2 linked regions of the Drosophila melanogaster genome follow. The protein of the gene in region 1 purifies or fractionates together with the protein of each later gene. This does not show direct contact. Each region holds a gene or a part of one and is shown on either strand. Other genes may lie near its edges.

The links.
Region 2: the proteins of BRWD3 (region 1) and jet purify together in Drosophila melanogaster (affinity purification with western blotting, with the first as the bait; one study listed by BioGRID). This does not show direct contact.

The regions. Positions count from the first base shown.
Region 1 is NT_033777.3:24,317,270-24,322,056, reverse strand, and holds the start of BRWD3 (BRWD3), read right to left. Parts: upstream 3,058-4,787; 5' UTR 2,943-3,057; coding exon 2,900-2,942; exon of another isoform or gene 2,649-2,899; coding exon 2,590-2,648; exon of another isoform or gene 2,466-2,589; coding exon 2,436-2,465; exon of another isoform or gene 2,275-2,435; intron 2,041-2,274; coding exon 1,981-2,040; intron 1,390-1,980; coding exon 1,143-1,389; intron 1,082-1,142; coding exon 274-1,081; intron 195-273; coding exon 98-194; intron 34-97; coding exon 1-33. Other genes in the region: Nab2 (nuclear polyadenosine RNA-binding 2), read left to right, coding at 3,801-3,842, 3,936-4,161, 4,216-4,787.
Region 2 is NT_033779.5:4,947,680-4,951,570, forward strand, and holds jet (jetlag), read right to left. Parts: upstream 2,106-3,891; 5' UTR 1,995-2,105; coding exon 1,219-1,994; intron 1,093-1,218; coding exon 909-1,092; 3' UTR 881-908; coding exon of another isoform or gene 715-880; 3' UTR 527-714; downstream 1-526. Other genes in the region: betaggt-I (beta subunit of type I geranylgeranyl transferase), read left to right, coding at 1-154; Jon25Biii (jonah 25Biii), read right to left, coding at 2,293-3,069.

The DNA of each region.
Region 1 (4,787 bases):
CAGCTTGGCTGACTTCGAGTCCCAGATTTTTATCTGTTTTTAAATGGGATTATTAATTATAAGTAAATGTTTAGCACGTTTTAAGACGGATGCTTACAGTAAAATCGTTTACGGCGGTGATGACATAACGGTCCGAGGCATCCCAAGCCACCATGGTTACCTTAAGCCTCTTTCCCTCCTCTGGTTCCGGGCAGCTGCAATTTAATTACAAAGCTATTAGTTTTCAGAGAATTCCTTACTAGCTAGAAACATTTTAAAGAAAATCGCACTCACCTGGCCAGACGCTCCGTCATGCATAGTTTGGAACTTTTCCACTGCTGCGACTCAAACGTCCAGATGTGTGCTGTGCCGTCCTTGCTCCCCGATATAAATCTCAGTCCACGATGCGACCACTGCACCGAGTCCACGGCATCTGTGTAAGCTTCCGTCTCCAATATTCGCTTCGGACCGTCCTCGCCCATCATATAGACGCGCACATGGTGATCGGCAGACCCAGCGGCCAGAAAAATGCCTCCTGGCGAAAAGGTGGTACACATCATCTGAGCTTGTCCGGGCCGCAGTTTCTCATGATACTGCGTTGGCTTCGGGGCAAACGTGATCTTTTGCCCGCGCGGCGTTGAGTATTGCCAGAAGGCGATCGATCCATCTGTGCTGGTAGTCACCAGATATTTCAGATCGCTACGTGGCGACGGACAAAAGTTAACCGAAGTTATCATGCCCGTGTGAGCAGACAGTACGGCGATGGGTGATGTGGTTTGCATGTCCCACACTCTTAGTATGTGATCCAATGACCCGGCAGCCAGCATCGTATTGTCCAAGTTAATGGCTATGTCTGTAATCTCGGATGAGGCGCCTCGCAGAGTGGCCAGCAGGCGGCCATCTGCCGCTGACCATATCTTAATAAGTAGATCATCGGCTCCGGTGATGATGTATCTTCCTGTGCGATCAAACAGAACACAGTACACTGAGGACAGGTGGCCCACAGTGCGACGGAGCAATTTTGTTCGGCGGTAGAGGTCCGTGGGCACGAGGAGCTTGCGACGGACTTCCCCGCCGTGTTCCCGTCCAGTTAGAACGCGATCTTTGGAAATATAAATGGGTTAGTCTCTAATATGCGAATAAAACTCTACCATGCAACTAACCTAAGTTGTGGGTCGGCTTTGTAAGGACCGAATCCGGCAGCGAGACTCCATTCAGGCGGGTGCAGTAGTCCCTTAAGGAGCGATGGCAGTAGACGGTTTCCTTGGTGCGCAGGAGGTTCTGGCGCCCAGTACCCAACAGCGAGTTGATGCCCGGAACACTGGGCGGAAGCTCGCGATCCACCAGTGGACCCAGACGACTGCATATTTCAAGCAAGTGATTGGCGCCAATGTGCTTGTACTTTCGTTCCTGCGAATTCAAAATCAAAATTTAACGTATTCCTATCGATTGGGCGATAAACGGTGCGATAGCTTCAACAACGTATGCTTGTCTCGTTCCCTCGCGCACAAGTCAAGGCAAAGTGGTGGTTGCTTGCATGTGTCTGTGCGCATGGGCATGTGTATGTGTGAGAAACCAAAATGTCGGCTGGTTGCAGCTAATTGTTAAAACTAAATTACAAAGCATTTGTTTAAAAAATTAAGATTTTTCAAAATTTACAATTTTTACGAGGGTTTTAGAATTTTTGCTTTCCACTTTAGTCTTTTACGAATTTTTGCAATTTTTTGCTGCCTTTTTAATTAAATAGTTGCTTACTTATTTGTTAATTTAACAGTCAGAATGATTGATGTCTTTAGTTGTAATGTTTTTTAAATTAACAACTTGAATTTTGATGTGCAACTTTTTCTCTATTCCCTGACACGATGACGTCACAAAGGCGAGCGAACGACTGAGACGGAAAATGCCGCAGCAGACGCACACTTACGCAAGACTTAAATGCCGATCAAAAGGCATTAAACGATAACTTTGAAAAGCTAATTGATTAATTATGAAAACACTCACCAATTCCTCAAAGGTCTGCTCATGCTCGTTTCCCTGCCAATCGAGACGACGCGGCAAAACCTGGGAATCGAAAGGTGTACGTATATATAGACGGGTGTAAATATATATGCATGCATGTATGACTCTTATCACTTGCACTCCGTGACGTCGACGATGACGTCGCGGGGGCATCCCTATGATTCCATTTCTTTTTTCATGTTTTTCTCTTCTTTTTTTAATGGACTATATATTCACGTGGCCCCAGCAAATCCACAATTCAGTCTGATTCCCAACTCTGAGACAAGCGGACGTACAAGTGGGTTTTTCGTCGTTCGCTGCCGGCAGCAGAAACAACAACAAAACCAAAACAAAGCGTATAAACAAACGCGGTTTTCTATTTTTTTTTTGGCCCCCCTCTCAATTCGAGTCCGAAATATCTGTGCCAAAAACACAGCTGCAGCACCAACAAAACTCACCTTCTTCTCTTCGAGTTCCCGGATCAAGACCTACAGTTGGATAGAATTTAGTTTCAGAATTAATGTAAATGTTTGTAAACAAAACGAAATTCCGCTCTTTTAGCGCGAAATACGATTCCAATGCGATCTCGCGCGAGCGCTGCTTTCAACCCACCTTCGCCGTCTCCTCCAGCGGTCCCGCGGCCAGGAACTTGGAAATGAGGAAGTACAGCTCTGCAAGATAGAGGATTTCACGGGTTTTAGTGCAACAAGTTGTCGAAAATGCGCTCGCTGGGAGTCGTCAATATTCCAGATATATCTGGCCAAAGGGGCCCGTGAATTTCGCTTGGCGAAACGCAGTCGAAAAAACGCAGCCATTCGATTCGAAGGGCGAGCGAAACACAGACACACATTTCACAAAGTCAAAGGGGCTGCCTTTGGTAGCCCCGTTGGACGCACTCGCTGCGCCACCGGGCGGTACGCACCTGGCTTTAGATCATCACCGGAACTGGGTTGTCTAGTTTCCATTATTCATTGCGAATTGCAGCTCCGATTATGACAAAATTGCAGTTGCTTTCTTCTAAAATTCTTTTCGCAGCTTCTTCTTCCCGTGTGACACTCGATTGCCATTCCCACCGAATGAAATGCCTTTGCGTATCGATAGTTGGTGGCGGGGCTCACAAGATGGGTATCGAGTCTTAGCCGAAGGAGCCAATTTTCGTATTTGAATTTGAGATGATGCACTGAAATGCTTCGCAGGATTCTACAATCTAAGATATTTACTTCAAATTGAGAATTTTAATTCTCAGTCAAACATATTCGTAGCCATTGGTTTGGAATTTAAGCTTATTATGAAATTTATATTTAGCTATGTGATTAAATAAACTGTTTGCAATTATTCGCTTTTAATTTTCGAATGTAATTTAATAGCTACTACACAAATTCTTGATAACTAGACTTATGATTTAATGAATAACAAGTGAAATCTTTTTATATTTTTAAATTGTCCCATTGGTGTTGATTATTTTGAAGTTATGTTGCACTTCAGTTCATGGCCATGGCCAGGAGCATTTTTAAATTTCAGAAGTTTTTAATTTGCCATTTTAATTTCAAATGAAATTTCTGTAACTATTTATTATTTTAAAGCTATGTTTATAGAAAATCGATATATACATTATAAAACGTGTGAATTAAACGTGAATACCCTTAATGTCAAACGCACACCACTAGTTATGAATATCGGAGCAGCTGCGATATTTTTTTTTTTTGGGAGGTTTTGCCATTTTCTAATGTAACAAAAAGTGGAGTGTAGCCACAAAGTAAGCGTAAATAATAAATGCTCGCGGCGAATAAACAGCGAAAAAGGCGATAGATAAACCAGCAAACATGGAGTGCAATCTGGGCAGCGAGATTGGTCAGAAGATGCGCGTAAGTCATTGGAAAAAAATCAATGAACTCGTTATGGATACCGCTCGGATTGGATACTCCAATACTATATATATTTTTGCACTTCATTAATAGAGCGCCGTAAAGGCAAAGCTGCTGGAGCTGGGAACCGGAGGATCGGCCGGTTTTATAGACGATGAATTGCCGGACTACGTCATGGTCATGGTGGCCAACAAGCGCACCAAACAGCAGATGAACGCCGAGCTGAATCTATTCCTAGGCGATCAAACTGACCTCTTTGTCACCTGGCTGCACGAAGTGCTGCAAAAGCTCCAAGAGGTCACACTCCCCACATCCAGTGGTATGATGGATATGCTCATCATACTTAAGCACCCACTAACTCCAATTTTTTCAGCTTCCAGCAAGAAGCGCAAGTCTCGCGGTCAGGAGAAGGACAAAAAAGGATCCAAGAAGGATAAGCGACCGCACCGAAAGTCCGGAGATGAGCTGTCGGAACCACAGCCAAGTTCCTCAGATGCCATGCCAATTGTCAGTTCCATCACGGATGTTTTTGCCGAAGAGCTTCTCGAGAAGGCAAAGAAAACCATGGACATTGATCTCAGTGCCAAAGACGAGATCCTGCACAAAAAGAAAAATCGCAAGTCCATCGAGGATGAGGATGCATCGGCCAATAGGGCGCTGGATGTGCCCGCTGTGTCTGAGATCATCTCAACTACTATCGGTGTTAACCGGCAAAAAGACCTCGCTGAGCTGGCCGAAATCCAAAAGAAAATTCATGCAGCCAAGAAGCATTTACGCCAGATTGGCGAGATCGGGGATGAAAGCGATGAATATGATGAGGATCTGTTGAACTTGAGCGCGAGGGAGGAGTCTGTAGACCAGGAGCCAGAAGAGGATCCCCCGAAATTGGAGGCTCCACCACGAAAAGCTAAGAGCCCCATTATTTTTAACAGACGCGAGAAGACA
Region 2 (3,891 bases), on another chromosome or scaffold:
GCATCTGCATGAGCAGTGGCGGTCCGCAGATGGCCGAGGCGACGAGGATATTAGTGTAAGCTCTGCATTCAAGCAACAACTCCACCTGTCAAAGGGGGTCGAGGCGACATCCACAACAACTACCTCTAACTCGCCATTAATTTCAGCACAATGATGGGAAGCCGCACAAAGCACGAGGGGAAAGTTAAAGCACACTATTGTATTTATATTGGCCACATTTTAGCCACGCTTTTTATGCCCTTGCAGTTAGTATATTTATTTTATCGAAAAGTTTGTAGCGCAGTGGATGAGGCATTTGCGACCATATAAACTATATATCAGTATCACCAGCGGAGTCGATACGGCCATGTCCGTCTGTCAGTTTCTATGCCAAATAGTCTCTTAGTTTAGCAATCTGCATGAACGGGTCGTTGTTTTTAATCGGTATAAATGTTATAATTACTGCAAGGGTATATAAGTTTCGGCTTGCCGATTCTAGCTTACTTTCTGGTTTACATGTATTTTAATGCAAAAAGCTCGAGCTTTTGGAGAGAGAGATGAATAAGTTAGTATGTTTATTGTACAGCCTAAATTAATGTTAACAATGTGTAAGATTAAGCTTAAAAGTAAATTAAAGCGTCCCATGCTGAGGCATGTATTTACAGCAAAAGTATTGGATAGCCTCGAAAGCCTCCTTGGTACATTGGTAATATTGGCCCGGAATCAGAATTAATCTCAAACCTGCAGGAACAGGCGGTGATGTTGCACAGTTGGCATGTAGCCCATGCCGGGCCGATCGATGTGGACCCGTCCACGAAGTGGGGCGAGCACACGCTCGGTGACCAATGGGCAGCGCTGCACCATCAGTGACTGCAGCAGCGGGCAACTGGAGGTGAGGGCACTGCGGAAGAGGGAGAACGAAGTGTGGGCTAGTAAACAAGGAAATCGCTGGGATAGAAGTCGTTCAAGTTGTAAGCGTTGAGCCCCACATCCGGCTGTGGCCTATCGATGTAAAGACGCCGCTGGCGGAGCGGCGCCAGGGAGAGTTCTGTGACCCGCGGACAACGTCGAATGAGCAAGGTCCGTAGCCGCAAACAGTGCACTGTCAAAGCGCTGAAAATACGCAGATGCGGATGCAGATGGAGATTGGTTTCCCCAGAAACACACAGACACAAGGCACGCACAGGTTTACTGACAATATGACAACAGCTTTTAGGGATAACTACGAGTATTACTTACTGCACGCCATAGTCGGAGATAGCCGCACACCCGATCACGTTGATGTGCTCCAGTTCGCGGCAATAGTTCCCGATTTGGATGAGCACCTGATCGGTGACACTGGGCGTATTTGCCAGCGACAGGACGGTGAGCTTGTTAAGTTTCCTGAAGAAGATAATCAAGCAGCGCTCTCCAATTGCGCCGCAATAGGAGATGTCGAACTCCACCAGCTTGCTTTGGTGCAGCGTCAAAGCGTCCACTGCTCCCGTGGTCAGCCACTGGCACTTGGACAGCTTGAGTACGCGCAGCTCCTTGCACTCCACTATGATCGGCTGCAGCGAAAGGGCCGTGATGTTGACGCATTCGTTCAGGTTGACGGCCCACAGGCGTTTCTTGTTGTTGGCCAGCAGTGGCAGCAGCAGCTCATCTGTTAGCCATCGGCAGCAGGCCAGATGAAGCACCTCCAATCGTTGGCAACATCGGGCCAGCACTCGAAAGGCCACGTCGATATTCTTTGTGTTGTTCCCAGAGAGATGAAGTTCCTGCCTTTTTTCCAGCGCAGCCTCCACAAAGCGTTGTGCGGTACGGGAGCAGCAGCGCAGGTTGAAGAGATCCTTGAGCGACAGGTAGACGGCAACCTGCGGGATGAGCACATCGTCCCAGCAGACATCAAACAGCGATCGTGGTGCTGCAATGGAGGCGGTGACCAATGGCCTTGGACTGGCCGTACGCGTTGGTTGTCCTCCGCTGGCCATGGCCATCAGGTGAGCTTCCTCCTCGGGGTGCAGAGTGCACATGCTGCCGCCTCCGGTTACGTGATCTACGCACCAACAAAGCACTCCCAACTCAATCCTTTGGTGCACGGCAAAAACGTAATTAATTGTTTACTTGATAGCAATCAGCTGTTGCTTTGGCATTCACACAAAACTGCTACAAAAATTATTTGTGTAATCTTACGCCGTGGTTTCTACACACGAGTAAAATTTGTTTTACACTGCGTAAAACAAGTGTAGAACACATACATTTTGTTGGTGACCCCGATTTATATACTCTCGAAACGTATTGCTTTTAAAATGATCGATTTATTTAGAAAAATTAGTAAGAGATGCCAGTGTGGTCACGGATCCAGTCCAAGTGGTAGGTGACGCGCTGGAATCCAGCAGGAGCACCCGACTGGCAGCCGTTGGAGGAGACGAAGTTGCTAACTCCCACCAGCTTGGAGCCGTCGTGTGTGACAAGGGGACCGCCAGAGTCACCTCCGCAAATGGACTTGCCGTCGACGGTGCGGGTGCAGATGACGTTGTCGCCAACGCTGCCGTAGGTCCAGCCGCACTCTTCGTTGTGGACGATCTGGAGATCGACGCACTGCAGCCAGTCGGGCAGTGGGCTGCCGTCGTAGGTGCCACCCCATCCGCAAGCGACGGCCCACCATTCGTTGTAGTTGTTGTAACGGTCGTTGTAGCTGGGGAGCTCCACCTTGTTCACCATGTGCCAGAAGTCGACGTGGGGGATGCGGATCAGGGCGATATCAGCGTTGGAATGCTTGATGAAGTTGCCGTTGCCAACGGTGTGGGTGAACTGGGCGTTGGTGCGCCAGGTGGCACCGAAGTAAACGATCACGGAAGCGGCATCTCCGATGCAGTGCTCGGCAGTCAGGACCCAGTCGTGGGCGATGATGGAGCCACCGCACCACCAGCCTCCGCTGAAGCCAAGACCCACAGTGTAGGGAGCCTTACCCTCGGGGGCGGCGTATCCGTTGGTGATACGACCCTCAATCTTGGTGGCCTTGGGCAGGTCCTTTACGAAGACCTTCTCGTCGAAGGCGGAGGCCGAAGCCACGGCCAGAGCCAGGATAGCTAGGAACACCTTCATGCTGATGTTTATACTGGATTCTACTCTCGGATGGCAGCCTTTTATACACATTTTCAGCTAAAACCATATCTGCAACTCGAAAAGGGCTCGTAAATAATCCTCAAGACTCCCATAAACGATGTCATCGATAAGAATGGAGGAACCACTCTACCAAGCCAGTAGTAGAAATCAAAGAAACTCTAGGGGGGACTAGACCCCCCCCACTAGACTATATATATTTATATATATTATATTATTTTATTATTTACCATATATTAAGTATGCAGCAATAAACAGCCAAATTATTATCTATCTAAATGGAATAATATTTTGTGGCTAATCAAATATGTTTGTAGTTTTATTCATAATTATAAAATATATATTTGTCAACCTTTGCGCAGACCATTCTATCTTATCATCATTTTTCAGAACTTAAAATTTACAATGATCTTTGGACAGGAATGATTTTCAATAAAGTTGTTTGTTAACTTTTACATAAAATGTATGTCTGCTTTTTGTCCTGATAAGGATAATCTGTAATAATGGCTGGAGGTTTTCCGCTTGTTTTCAAATCTATTACTAACTGTTGCCAAGTTAGGCTGAAGGATTCTCGACTATTATTAATTTAATAGACAATTAATAAGAACAACAACAAACCAAAACTTGATGCACAAGTGTATGATAACCCTATATACTCACAGGTTTTTGATAACAAGAATTACAAGTGCTTAAAAATAAAATAGTTTACAATTATTGTTCAAGTGTAAACAAATGTTTGAAAGTGATAATAAAATAGGTGTTGGAAAAATGTTAAAAACTTGTGTGTTATTTTCATAAAAATGC